Arabidopsis thaliana: one gene and its partner. The protein of the gene in region 1 interacts with the protein of each later gene in a pairwise test. Each region holds a gene or a part of one and is shown on either strand. Other genes may lie near its edges.

Region 1 (7,324 bases):
ATTAATGAAGCTGAATCAACAAAGGCAAAACATAAAAGTACATTCTAATGAAATGAGCTAATGAAGAGGAGGCATCTACTTTTATGTTTCATTAGTGTGATTGATGGATTTTCATTTCATGCTTCTAAAACAAGTATTTTCAACAGTGTCATGAAATAACAGAACTTATATCTTCATTTGTACTTTTACTAGTGGATGAGTTACACAATCATTGTTATAGAACCAAATCAAAGGTAGAGATCATCATTAGTATATGTCTATTTTGGTTGCAGGATATCTATTAGCATCTGGGAAACCTTATTATGCGTTGGCGTTGGTTGCTTTGATCATTCCTCAGATTGTGTTCCAGGTAAAGACGTTAACAGTCTCACATTATAATTAATCAAATTCTTGTCACTCGTCTGATTGCTACACTCGCTTCTATAAACTGCAGTTTAAATACTTTCTCAAGGACCCTGTCAAATACGACGTCAAGTACCAGGTAAGTCAACTTAGTACACATGTTTGTGTTCTTTTGAAATATCTTTGAGAGGTCTCTTAATCAGAAGTTGCTTGAAACACTCATCTTGATTACAGGCAAGCGCGCAGCCATTCTTGGTGCTCGGAATATTTGTAACGGCATTAGCATCGCAACACTGAAAAAGGCGTATTTTGATGGGGTTTTGTCGAAAGCAGAGGTGTTGACACATCAAATGTGGGCAAGTGATGGCATCAACTAGTTTAAAAGATTTTGTAAAATGTATGTACCGTTATTACTAGAAACAACTCCTGTTGTATCAATTTAGCAAAACGGCTGAGAAATTGTAATTGATGTTACCGTATTTGCGCTCCATTTTTGCATTTCCTGCTCATATCGAGGATTGGGGTTTATGTTAGTTCTGTCACTTCTCTGCTTTCAGAATGTTTTTGTTTTCTGTAGTGGATTTTAACTATTTTCATCACTTTTTGTATTGATTCTAAACATGTATCCACATAAAAACAGTAATATACAAAAATGATACTTCCTCAAACTTTTTATAATCTAAATCTAACAACTAGCTAGTAACCCAACTAACTTCATACAATTAATTTGAGAAACTACAAAGACTAGACTATACATATGTTATTTAACAACTTGAAACTGTGTTATTACTACCTGATTTTTTTCTATTCTACAGCCATTTGATATGCTGCAATCTTAACATATCAAGTCTCACGTTGTTGGACACAACATACTATCACAAGTAAGACACGAAGTAAAACCAACCGGCAACCGCATTACATAACATAACCGCATACCATTTGAACGGTACAACACTGCCGTTAGTACAAGCCATACATAGTTATATCACACACATATAAAACACAAAAAACCTAAACGCGCTACATTAGACCCTAGTTAAAATCCACGCTGCCAAACACGGAACCTACAAGCAGGTTACTTATTAGATGATATATAACAGACTGTTGCAGCGGACACTAGTAGCTCGTAACTACTATCACTTGTTGGTGAACTTTGACTCATCGATCTCAATCCCTTCTTCCTCCGCACGCTCTCCACCAGATTTTTCCATCGTACTGAGTCCTCCTTTACGTCCCATCTCCTTATAACCCTCGTGCCCTAGCTGCTCCTTCCTCGCCTCTCCTCCTTTGTGTCCCATCTCCTGATAACCCTCGTGCCCTAGCTGCTCCTTCCTCGCCTCTCCACCTTTGTGACCCATCTCCTGATAACCCTCGTGCCCTAACTGCTCCTTCCTCGCCTCTCCACCTTTGTGACCGATCTCCTGATAACCTTCATGTCCTAGCTGCTCCTTCCTCGTCTGCCCTCCCTTGCTCCTTCCTAACAAGTGTACATACATGCATTCCATGAAACATGGAGATCATAGAGTAAACTTTAGGTTCGTAATAAGTAGATTAATCTTATCTTAAGATATTAAGATCTAATGTTTCTAGCCTTATAAAACCATTACTTACGAACTAAAGAAAATAAAAAGAGTGTGGAAAAGTTGTAATTTACGGCAATACCTTCAGCAAGATGCTCTTGAGCTTCGAGGCTGTGGCCACCGGTGCCACCTGGGACGACGGTCTCTCCTTGCTTCGCCTTCTCATCAAGCTCTTCTCTGCTCAGTTGCTTTGACGCCATTTTTTGAAGAAAAAAACACGAACGATATGTAATTAAGTAAGTTGCTTTTAATTTGGATCTATGTTCCGACACAGATACGGACGACGTAATTATTCCTATAAATAGAAACGTTTGTGTTCCAAAGGAAACAAAAGGAGAGAAAAAGTGAAGTGCTACGTGGAAGAGAAGACGCGGCGAGACTAGAAATAATGGGCTTTACGGAGATGACACGTTGATGCTTACTCAGTCAACTTGCTACAGTTATTAACGAGCTGCTTGACACGACTCCGATTAATCTTAATCCATTTTCTGTTTCCCCCAAGAAATCAAGATAATTACCCACATTTGGGATTTTTTATAAAACTGTTTTCCGTGTTAGGTCTTTTCAATATCAGTTAGATAGTACTATTATTTATCTATTTGAAATCTAAGTGCAATATTTCGGATAAATATGTTTTAAAGTTAAAAGTTTTATATTTATTCACATCATAAGAAAAATATAGGTGTTATTAGAAGAAGAGATTTATAAATCGATCACACATAATAACTGGGAAGAGAAGGTAGCTTCGAGGATTAGTTGGTTTACTTGTCGACAAAGTCATATCTACCATGTAATAATTAGGTCTTTTTCAAGTTTTGAGTTTGGAGACATTTATTTGAGTTTGACTTTGGTCTTATTATATGCTTGGGCTATTGTACACGTTTGACTCATGCTGATTAGAGTATGTATAGTTAAATATAATAATTAAAATGTTAGAATCTGGTGTGGATTAGACTTTCGCGACATTGTTGAAAATTTGTGAATGCATCTATCTAAAAGTTGGTTTAGTGGAGTTTCTATGTGCACAACTGAAGTACATCACTATATTTGGACAATATTGAATTATATTTGAATTTATTGTCTTGAAGAATAATTTGCAACATTACATACCAAATGTTGGCTCTCTTACGGAGAGCGTATAAGCGCCACTTGACGTGGGCTTATATGGGCCCGGTTAAGGGTAAATGTTTAGTGGCCACAATTCTGAAACAGCTTCCCTTCTTCGGCCCATACTGGAGTACAAAAGTAACGCAATTAAGAAAAAGCGTTACAGGATTAATCCAAAACGGCATCGTTAGAAGAAGAGAGCACACATAGCGAAAACCCTAGTACCTTTATTTGAGCCAACACTTTCATTTCTCTCCTTCTCCACCAGTTTTCCCCCAATCGCTCCTCCTTAAACCCTAACATTTTTGCTTCCCCTGTTTCGATTCTCGAGAGTTATCAGAGATGAGTTCGGACGATGAGAGAGACGAGAAGGAGCTGAGTCTTACCTCTCCTGAAGTCGTCACCAAGTACAAGAGCGCCGCTGAGATCGTTAACAGTAATACACCCTCTCTTTCTTCCTTTCTTGTTTTAAGTCCGATTTGGATTTAGGGTTTTGAAGGTGTAGCTTTATCGAGTATTGATTTCTGTTGGGTTTTCAATTGCAGAGGCGTTACAGGTTGTTTTAGCTGAATGCAAACCAAAAGCTAAGATTGTTGATATCTGTGAGAAAGGAGACTCTTTTATTAAAGAGTGAGTATATCTCAATTTGTTCTTAATGTAGATTCGACCTTGGATTACTCTTAGATATTTATGTGTTTGTTCTTTCTTCTGTTTTTGTATTAAAGGCAAACAGCAAGCATGTACAAGAATTCTAAGAAGAAGATTGAGAGAGGTGTTGCGTTCCCTACATGCATTTCTGTGAACAACACTGTTGGTCATTTTTCACCGCTTGCTAGTGATGAGTCTGTGTTGGAAGATGGTGACATGGTTAAAATGTAAGTTGTCTTCAAGTAATACCTGTTTTTAGATGTTTCTGTATGATTCACCTGTGTTATTTCTGATGTTGTTTTGCGTTTCTCAATTGCAGCGATATGGGATGTCATATTGATGGGTTCATTGCCCTTGTTGGTCACACACATGTTCTTCAAGAAGGGCCTCTTAGTGGGCGTAAGGCTGATGTTATCGCTGCCGCAAATACTGCAGCTGATGTTGCTCTAAGGCTCGTACGTCCTGGAAAAAAGGTATCATCAGTTTTACTCTTACATTAAACTTGAAACTATAGGCTTTTGGTACTATAACTGCCTCTTGAATGATTGTCAAGGTTTTACAAAACCCAGATGATGAACACTTAATAAATGGCTATGGATTATTATCCATATGATGCTTTTTTGTCATAGTTACTCTGATGGGATTTTTCTTATTCTGATTTTTAGTCTGATCCCTCGTTGGATTTACTATGAGATGTTGGAACTTTGTCTAAGGTTTTCCTCTCTTGGTCTTGCACGATGCTTTTTTTTTTTAGCGGACTTCAAATGTAAATTGTTTTGGGAAAAGATTTCTGGATGAAGACCGTAATTGTTATGGATTCGCATCCAAATGAGGCCGTAGTTACTCTGATGTGGGAAAGTTCTTTAAAATAAAGTTTCTTGCTACGAGTTTGTAGTTTCTTGTTTAGTACTACAACATATTGCAATCAAGACATTGATATTCTGTTTTTCTTATCGCAGAACACTGATGTAACTGAAGCTATTCAGAAGGTAGCTGCAGCTTATGACTGCAAAATTGTTGAAGGTGTTCTTTCCCACCAGCTGAAACAGCATGTGATAGATGGAAACAAGGTTGTGCTTAGTGTATCCAGCCCTGAAACAACTGTTGACGAAGTGGAATTTGAAGAGAATGAAGTCTATGCAATAGATATTGTGGCAAGTACTGGTGATGGCAAGGTAATTTCTTTTGTTTATCGCATCCCGATCACTATTGGTGAACCTTTGTCTATTGCCATTGTTCTCACAATCTTTGACTTTGCAGCCAAAGCTATTAGACGAGAAGCAAACAACTATTTACAAGAAAGATGAAAGTGTTAACTATCAGTTGAAGATGAAGGCCTCCAGATTCATAATCAGCGAAATTAAACAGAACTTCCCCCGTATGCCATTCACTGCAAGGTGTCTTTTGTACCTTCTGAAGCATTTTATATTCCTTAAACTATTATCTCACTTGCTAACGTTACCTGAGAGTATTATCAATACAGGTCACTGGAGGAGAAAAGGGCACGGCTTGGACTTGTGGAGTGTGTGAACCATGGTCATTTGCAACCATATCCTGTTCTTTACGAGAAGCCTGGTAAGGATGATGAAAGGGTTTTGAATCTATAAACCTCTTTTATCTGAATCTTGATATCAAGGCTCATGTCGTTTTGGTTTTCTACCAGGGGATTTTGTTGCTCAGATTAAGTTCACAGTTTTGCTGATGCCAAATGGATCAGATAGGATCACTTCACATACACTTCAGGAACTTCCTAAAAAGACCATCGAAGACCCTGAGATCAAAGGGTGGTTAGCTTTGGGCATCAAGAAGAAGAAAGGTGGTGGAAAGAAGAAGAAAGGTAAGAACTTAAAATAAATTTCCAGACTTTTACCTTATATGACGTGATCCACATGTTGATTAAAAAGGTTCAATTTGGTGTTTTGCAGCCCAAAAGGCGGGAGAGAAAGGAGAGGCTTCAACAGAGGCTGAGCCAATGGACGCAAGTAGTAATGCTCAAGAATGAGTAGGAAGATTTGTCTTTGTTTCTTTTAAAGAATTTTTGAAACTTGAGGTACCTCTTTCGTTGTATGTTTGGGTTTCAAGAGAGTCTCTTCTTAAACAAAAAAAAACAAACAATAGTTTACCACCTTTGTGCATATTTTTGCACAAAGCACTTTTCATCATCATTTCTTTGCTTGTCCTAATCTTATCTCATTCTCTAATCAAAAATACTTATCTGGTTTCAGGCTATAACAATAACTCTGTTTAGAAACACTTGTTACCAACAAACTACTCTTTGAATGTGTTTACGTGGTAAGGATTTGATCCCACAGAAGAGAAATATTTGTGACAGAAGAAAAAAACTCAGCTCTTCAATAATCGAAGCTTATACAGATTTTTGGATTGGTTGATTTTGAGATTGTAACGAATAGTAATCAGAATTTCACTTAAGAAATTGTGATTGAACCCTCTAAACCACAGAGAGGGTTCTTGACGTGGTCCATAGTTCTTCAGTGGGGCGGCTTGTGGCTTCTTTTTCATTTTTCCAGAAAACCCCATAAACCTCTCGCTCTCGGGAATTTGATTGATTCCCACGAGGAAAAATCAATCTTCCCGGAAAATGGCAGCTAGGTTATTGTTCCGTCGAAGTTCTCAAATCCTCCGATCAATTCAACGAAATCCTCAAATCTCATCGTCATTCGAATCACCACCTTGCCCGATTTTTCACTCATTGACCACCGCCTCACCAGATCCATCGCGATTATCATCCTTAACCTTCCTCCGATCTCTCTCCATCGCTCGTCGCGGTCCAACACGTCCTAAGAAAATCGATATCGGAGCCAAAGCGCGTCAGATGCAGAATCGCCGTTTATGGACCTACGCGCTAACCTTCAGCTGCATCGCCGGATTCGTAGTTATCGTCCTTAACCAATTTCAGGATCAGCTTGTCTTCTACCTAACGCCATCAGACGCTATGGAGAAATTCGCAGAGAATCCAACAAAGAACAAATTCAGACTCGGTGGTTTGGTTCTAGAAGGTAGCGTTGCGCAGCCGGCGGCGTCACAGGAGATGGAGTTTGTGATCACTGATCTGATCACTGATATTTTGGTTAGGTATAAAGGATCTTTGCCGGATCTGTTTAGGGAAGGTCATTCAGTTGTGGTTGAAGGATTCATTAAGCCGTATACAGATGAAGTAAGGAAGGAAGTTTCTACAAAACCTATTTCGAAGAAAGCTAGGAACCTCGATTGTTTCTTCTCGGCGACTGAAGTTTTGGCTAAGCATGATGAGAAGTATATGCCACAGGAAGTTGCGGCGGCGATTGAGAAGAATAAGAAAATTATTGAAGCGGCGGCGACTGAACAAGCTGCTGAAGTTGCGGCTTCTTAGATTGGTATAAACTTCATTCTTTTTAAGTTAATCAAAATTTTCCCCAAGTTCGAGCTTTTGGTGAGTATTGTTCATCTTATAAGGTTATATTTGATTATAGTTTCTGGAAAAGAGTAGGAAGATTGGAATGTTATATTCCTGGAAAACAGAGATTTGATTTTTGAGTCTATTTGAGAATTAAGTGGAGAAATGTGATACACTATACAATAGCTTTGTTTGATTCCACAAAGCTATAAGCTAATCTACTTTCTTGTTGTGTTGATCAAATAAAGAACAC
Region 2 (7,156 bases), on another chromosome or scaffold:
GTAAAATTTTTCAAACAATATTTTTATTTTTATAATACTTTTTACAAAAAATTTATGATTTTATTTTGTTAAGAAAAATGTAGAAAATCATGAACCAATAACATAATAATTTAATTCATTATAATTAGAGATTTTTTTGTTTTAGTTGAATAACACAAAACTTTTACTGATTTTATAAAAGTATGAATCCAATAACTCCAGATTTATAAAAGTTTTAGATTACTTCTAACAAATCTAAAATGAATAACACAAAACTTTAACAAATTTTATAAAATCTTGATTGAATAACAACATATTCTACATAACATTTTAAATCACTAAAACTCTTTTGAAATCATAAACCAATAATGGCCCCTTTGAGAGGAGACAGAGTTATATCAATCAATATTAATATCCTACTAAATTTTATTTAACTTTTTTTTTCACTAGAAATTGGATTTCATTTATTAAGATTTTTTATTTTAATATTAGTTTGTAGTATTATATTTGAGTTCTCTAATTCTAATTTAAAATATATTTTCTACTATTTAAAAATTATTCTGATTTAATTTAATATTAGATAAATGTTTGCTCTCATTTTTATTTTCTATCTTATATTTTAATTAAGTTTAAATGAAATTTATAGTACTATTTATAAAAATTTAGAATTGTTGTCCATAACTTTTTTTTAACAATTTTTTGTCAATTGCCCAAATTTAATTATGGGCCCATAAAATGTAGGCCCAATTCAATTAAACCTACCTATTGGTTCTCCTATAAGTTGCTTCTCTCAACTTTCTCGCAAAACCCTAAAAGCTGAGCCGCGTCGAGAGCATTTTATATCTTCAATCATCTTACGCAGGCTGTTGTAGCAGCAGTGTCTATCGGAGACGATGAAGGTGGCTCCATCTTTTTCTTCTCATCAATTCTGTTCTCGTTTATCTCTTTGTTATTTCGTTTGATTCAATCGATTTTGGTTTGTGTCGCAGTTCAACGTCGCCAATCCGACCACCGGGTGTCAAAAGAAACTCGAGATCGATGACGATCAAAAACTGTAAGATCTTTGCTTTAAATCACATTTTCTTCATGGATTTGTTTACATTTGGCTTATTGAGTGTAGAGTGTGAACAATCTGCTATGAAGTTCGTAAAATTCTTTGAATCCAAACCTTTGAATCGTAGGATAGTTACTATTTCACACTGCTAGGATCTGTTTATAGCTGATGCATTACTGGAATCTATGATGTTTACTGCGTTGGTCTGATATATAACCAGTTCTGAATCTGAAAATCAACATTGTCGATTTTGGTAAAGATATTGAGTTTCATTTCTGTTGTTTTGATGCAGCCGCGCCTTTTTCGACAAGAGGCTCTCTCAGGAAGTTAGCGGAGATGCTCTAGGCGAGGTGAAATTTTTTCTCCTGGTTCAGTGTTTTTTTCTGATGTCTTGTGAGTTCAGTATACTTAACAGAATTGTGTGTGTTTTGAGCTATTTGCAGGAATTCAAGGGATACGTATTCAAGATCATGGGAGGATGTGACAAGCAAGGTTTCCCAATGAAACAAGGAGTTCTCACTCCAGGGCGTGTCCGTCTTTTGCTTCACCGAGGTACTAGATTCCACCCCATTGATAAAATTATACAGCTTCTCTTTTTTTCATTAATCTTCTGTGTTTTTTATTTATGTGATCTGGTTATTGTGTTTAGGTACTCCTTGTTTTAGAGGACACGGAAGGAGGACTGGAGAGAGGAGACGAAAGTCTGTCCGTGGTTGCATTGTGAGCCCTGACCTGTCTGTTCTTAACTTGGTCATTGTGAAGAAGGGTGTAAGTGATCTTCCCGGGCTTACCGACACTGAGAAGCCAAGAATGAGAGGTCCCAAGAGGGCATCAAAGATCCGCAAGTTGTTTAACCTTGGAAAAGAGGATGATGTGAGGAAGTACGTTAACACTTACCGCCGTACCTTCACAAACAAGAAGGGTAAGAAAATTAGATTCACTTAAAGAGATAATTGAAAACTGTTTATACGATTGATGATTTACTAATATATGAGGCTTCCATGTGCAGGCAAGAAGGTTAGCAAGGCTCCTAAGATCCAGAGGCTTGTGACTCCATTGACCCTCCAGAGGAAGAGAGCTAGAATTGCTGACAAGAAGAAGAGAATCGCCAAGGCTAACTCTGATGCAGCTGATTACCAGAAGCTTCTTGCCTCCAGACTAAAGGAGCAGCGTGATCGCCGTAGTGAAAGTTTGGCCAAGAAGAGGTCTAGACTCTCTTCTGCTCCTGCTAAACCCGTTGCTGCTTAAACTGCCTCAAGATTAAGAAATTTCTTTCTCTCTAGTTTGTTTCTGGTCGTATTTAAGTTGCTCCACAGACATGAGAACGCCATTTTGAACACTATTTTTGGTTTCTGTTTTGTGTCAACTTTTCAAGCCTTTTATTATATCAAAGTTTTGAACCTCTTAGTAGTACGTTTGTTATATTTAGTTCTTATTTATATGCCCGTTTGTTGATAGTAAATGACCAGATGTCTTCATTATTAGATAAACTGATGACCTACCTTTAAAGTGTTTTTTCCAAAAAGTGTAATGTTTTGAACCAAAACTCAATCTCGATTAAACTCTTTTAATATGGAGACCCGTCGCTGAAGACTGACTCCTTTCTTCAAGCTGGTGTTGATCGGAGACTATGGAGTCGGAGAATCGCTTCTACTGTCTCCTTATGCCATCTTCGCCGAAATCCTCTGTTTTACAACAGTGGTAAGTAAAAAACTAAAAAGGTTGGAAGAAGACGAAGAACTTTGCTTAACTGCAATTAAAATTTATTTATTTAACAAATGGCTGTAGATATGTTTTGGGGAAAAGTCATTCTTATCAATACCTTTGGAATAATTTGGATCAAACTGTATCATATTTTTGTGGATAATTTGTCTCTGATATAAATTAATCTGATCCATATTATGCAGTATTATTTCACAGACCTCTTAATTTGGTCCATAAATTTAATTTGATCCATGATATAATTTGATAAATTATTCACAAGCCTGTTTCTTCCATAATGTTTGGGGCCTATGATGGGCCGAATTGAATTTTGAAGAAAAATCAAAACCTTCAGATTCAGTTAGAGTGTTATGATAATGGGCTCTTGTAAGTTTGTAACCGAGGCCCAATACGAGACGACGTCGTTGTTTGCAATCGACCTATCTGGATCGGTAGGAAAAGTGTGCAAGTCGTTTTCATTCACCAAAGCGAAGCTTTATTCGTTTGCTTGAGCTCCGAAGAGTGGAAACAAAAATGGAGGAAGAAGAGCACGAGGTTTACGGTGGAGAAATCCCTGAAGTCGGCGATACGGATGTTCCCGATCCGGATATCGATATGTCTGCAGCCGATGAGGACGCCGTTACGGTCTACTTCTGCTTCGTTCGATTTTGATTTTGTTGTATATCGTGTGTATACATCTGTTTGATTTTTGGTGTTTTGATTTCATGGAATCAGGAGCTTGCTGAGATGAAGAGGAGATTAAAGGAGATGGAGGAAGAAGCTGCTGCGCTACGAGAGATGCAAGCAAAAGTCGAAAAAGAAATGGGAGCTACTCAAGGTTTTGTGACTCTTTCGTTTTTTTTTTGAATTCGTTTGCTCGAGACTATCTTTGAATTTGATATACTAGGAGGAATCTGTTGATTGTGTAGATTACTTTTAGGAAATTGAACTTCTGTTTCTTGCTTAACAATTTGTTTCAGATCCTGCTAGTATGGCTGCAAATCAAGAAGGAAAGGAGGAGGTGGATGCTCGATCAGTTTATGTTGGCAATGTAAGATAGCTTATTTTCTACTTCATGGTATCTCTTCTGTGCTTGAATCATTGTTTCATCTAAACGGCTTTGATCTGTTTGCCAATCTTAGTGTGGATTAGCTTAGGCTGACTATTTTGTTAACTTAAATTTCATCTTTGATAAAAGAACTGCTTGCAATTGTGTCTTAGCTTTGTTCTTTATCCCTTGAGATTACTGTTAGAATCTGTATCAAGAGGCTTTCTCTAAATTTAATGTTGTGAAGTAGGTTCTTTATTGTTTCTAGTTGAAGAGTTTGACCTCTATGTCCTATATAATCGCAGGGTTGTTCTCATAAATGAAGTTCTTAATAGCTCTGGGTTCTCAACTAAGTTTTGTGACTGTTTTGCTAGTTTCCTTGTTGTAGTGTTAAAATCATTCTTCCCGTGCAATTTGATGATAAAAAAGCTATAAAAAAAATGTTGAAAGTAAAAAGAAAAGAGAAGGAAAAAAATTTGAAAAAAAAAAAAAAAGATATAGCAGAAAAATGTGGAGAAAAATATTGCATGAGCTTGAAAAAAAAAAGAAGGATTTCTTGAGAGGAAAAAGGGAGTCTGAGTGAGTTGGGTGGGATTAGAAAGCAAGGTTTCTGTTATCCTTGAGGAGATGGTCTCTGAACTCTGAAGAGCTGGATCAAGATGCCAAGATGCTGGATGCTTTCTAAACAAGACCCAAAGCTCCGCAGGGAGGATACTTGGAGCTAATACAGGTTTGGTTGTTTGCGGATTTCGCGAGAGGCTGCAGTTTGATGCTGGCCTTTTATCATGTATTTTTGAACTCACGCTCATAAAATGAAGACTTTCATAGCGTTTATGTACCATACATAACTTAGGTCTAATGTTAGACATGGAAAATTGCTTTAGAACACACAAGTTTGTCTCTTGGCTTCCCTTAGTGGGGTGGTTAACTTATCTATCTGTTACGTTCTCAGTAAGTCATGGTTTTAGTTGTAATAAGAATGCTTGTGTTGTACTAAGACCTCATTATCCACCCTGCAGGTCGACTATGCCTGTACACCTGAAGAAGTGCAACTACATTTCCAAACATGCGGAACAGTCAACCGGGTAACCATTCTAATGGACAAGTTTGGACAGCCAAAGGGATTTGCTTATGTGGAGTTTGTAGAAGTGGAAGCCGTGCAAGAAGCTCTGCAGCTGAATGAATCAGAGCTTCATGGTCGTCAACTGAAGGTATCTTCTCGTACTAAGACCAATACTGAAGGAAATGGACAGTTCATTGATCTCAACTCTTCTCTTTTGGTTTTCATTTCAGGTCTCGCCTAAGCGAACCAATGTTCCTGGAATGAAACAGTATCATCCTGGGCGTTTCAACCCTTCAATGGGATACCGCTTTCGCAGACCCTTTGTGCCTCCGTATTTTTATTCCCCATATGGATACGGGTAAGTTTAAACTCTGCATATTTACCATCAGTTTATCACAAATGGCTTTCTCTTCTTCGTCTCACGAGACTCGGCAATGCCTCGTGCAGGAAGGCTCCTAGGTTCAGAAGGCCAATGCGGTACATGCCTTACCAATAGAAACCGTACCGGAATAAGAAGAACTATGACAGAGATGATGCCGAGGTCGTCCCTCCATTTCGAGCTTTATATATGAATATGACTTTGCTCGCACCTGAACTTAATTTTGAATCTGTCATGTACGGATGAGATTATAAGCTTTTGTTTCTTTAGATTATGATTATATTTGGTCGATATTACTTTCAGTTTATATCTTTGTTAGTACTTTCTTTCATCCAAAGGGGGCTAAATAAGTATACCAACAAGAAGATTGATGTTACGTAGAGAAGCCTTTGTAAGAAGCTATTATGTTTCCGCAAAAAATCCCTTAGTCAGAAGCTAACCTTTACTAATCAATGATGTATGGTATAATCAAATCCCTTATTCCTTATAGTATTTGTTATCTTTTCGGTTTGGAGAATCGATGATTACAGAGTAAAAAAAAGAATAATGTTTTTTCTTCTCGTCATTAGTACTTTTGATGTATGGTATAATCAAAACATTAAATTTATGAAAATTTGTAATGTGATGTTGATATTGATAAAACATAGTAATTCATAACCCAGTGAGTAAACTAATCAGAAACTAGAATGCTTGGACAAATAACGACCAAAAAAGAATGCTTGGACAAATAACCAATCATTCAAGTCTACAAAATAGAAATTAAACTCGGGAAATAACAAACAACAGTTGCACAGCGATTAGATGTGTAAGGCAAATCATAAGATTTGGTATCTGGATCATGTGTTAGGAATGCATCCCCGTGTGTACTATCATAAAACAATAACTTGTCCTTGTCCAAAACTGCTAGTGGGGTGAATGCGAATATGGCACTAAAGAACAAAGAAGAGGTGATAATGAGGTCTATGGAATATATTTGCTTCCATGTCTTGTGGTCTGAATCATCCAACGACCATATGACTTGGTTGGGCCACTTTTGCTCGGATACGCACAAACGATCACCGAGGTTGCACATGACGATATAATATTCATCAGAGACATTGAGAAAGGGAGCTTTAGAGATGACTTGGAACGTTTCGGAGTGAAGATCCAAAGACAAAACCATGGTTTCGCCCTCGTGTGACAAGGCAGTGAACCAGTGAAGTGACCCGTCTACATAAACAGGATCTTGGGTGTGAAGAATCAGATGAGGGGACGCGGGGAAAACGTACCTCCAAGCGTTGGTGGCAAAATCGAAAACTTCACAAGTAGTAGGCTTGTCATTTAGGTCTAACTCAGCGGAATTATATAACCAAACTGGCTTGTAAGTGCCACTGATTTTGTCTTTGCCAAATCCAGGAGTAGGGCATGCGACTTTAAAGCACTCGTGTCTCTCACCCTTGTCGGCAGCGACTAGTTGATAGTTGCATTTAGGGAAAGTTCGATGCCATCGAGTGGTGGGATTGACGACAATACTCGGCAGTTCATAGAAACTAAAGAGGCATATCAGACCATCACAGCTAGTATTGCAAACGAAGTACAACTTGTCCTCCCAAGGAGTAGGGATCTGAACAGAAGCTGCAGATGACTCCACCAAAAAAGTTCTCAGAGCTTCAAAGCTGCTTATGCTTGGATCTTGTTGACGAGCACAAGGATCATATAAGGACACCAAAAGCACATGTGGATCTCCTGATGATTGGCTAAGATGGTGGATCAACTGTCTTTCTTGGAAACTAGGGGATTGGATTGTAGACATCCATTGCTTCGATACAGACTTGAACTTGAGGAGGGTTTTCACATCAAGCCTCACCATTATATGATACTCTATCACATCGTGTGGTAACAATTCTTCCATACTTGTCTCTGAATCTCTCAATGTTATAGATTGAAGACAAG

Evidence for each region.
Region 2: the proteins of ATG2 (region 1) and AT5G10350 interact in a protein complementation assay, tested with the Arabidopsis thaliana proteins (one study listed by BioGRID).

The regions. Positions count from the first base shown.
Region 1 is NC_003074.8:19,209,616-19,216,939, reverse strand, and holds ATG2 (metallopeptidase M24 family protein), read left to right. Parts: upstream 1-3,230; 5' UTR 3,231-3,371; coding exon 3,372-3,465; intron 3,466-3,574; coding exon 3,575-3,659; intron 3,660-3,754; coding exon 3,755-3,904; intron 3,905-3,996; coding exon 3,997-4,150; intron 4,151-4,241; exon of another isoform or gene 4,242-4,320; intron 4,321-4,636; coding exon 4,637-4,852; intron 4,853-4,937; coding exon 4,938-5,074; intron 5,075-5,160; coding exon 5,161-5,252; intron 5,253-5,313; coding exon 5,314-5,514; intron 5,515-5,602; coding exon 5,603-5,679; 3' UTR 5,680-5,913; downstream 5,914-7,324. Other genes in the region: G4 (UbiA prenyltransferase family protein), read left to right, coding at 273-349, 434-481, 577-639; EM1 (Stress induced protein), read right to left, coding at 1,479-1,819, 2,005-2,122; G1 (transmembrane protein G1P-related 1), read left to right, coding at 6,277-7,047. UniProt on the Arabidopsis thaliana protein: Binds RNA. Associates with 28S, 18S and 5.8S mature rRNAs, several rRNA precursors and probably U3 small nucleolar RNA. May be involved in regulation of intermediate and late steps of rRNA processing. May be involved in ribosome assembly.
Region 2 is NC_003076.8:3,253,859-3,261,014, reverse strand, and holds AT5G10350 (RNA-binding (RRM/RBD/RNP motifs) family protein), read left to right. Parts: upstream 1-3,203; 5' UTR 3,204-3,268; coding exon 3,269-3,379; intron 3,380-3,469; coding exon 3,470-3,572; intron 3,573-3,714; coding exon 3,715-3,785; exon of another isoform or gene 3,786-4,801; coding exon 4,802-4,993; intron 4,994-5,075; coding exon 5,076-5,203; coding exon of another isoform or gene 5,204-5,207; exon of another isoform or gene 5,208-5,292; coding exon 5,293-5,341; 3' UTR 5,342-5,779; downstream 5,780-7,156. Other genes in the region: EMB3010 (Ribosomal protein S6e), read left to right, coding at 873-878, 969-1,033, 1,326-1,383, 1,477-1,585, 1,683-1,955, 2,043-2,281; AT5G10340 (F-box family protein), read right to left, coding at 5,970-7,156. UniProt on the Arabidopsis thaliana protein: Involved in the 3'-end formation of mRNA precursors (pre-mRNA) by the addition of a poly(A) tail of 200-250 nt to the upstream cleavage product.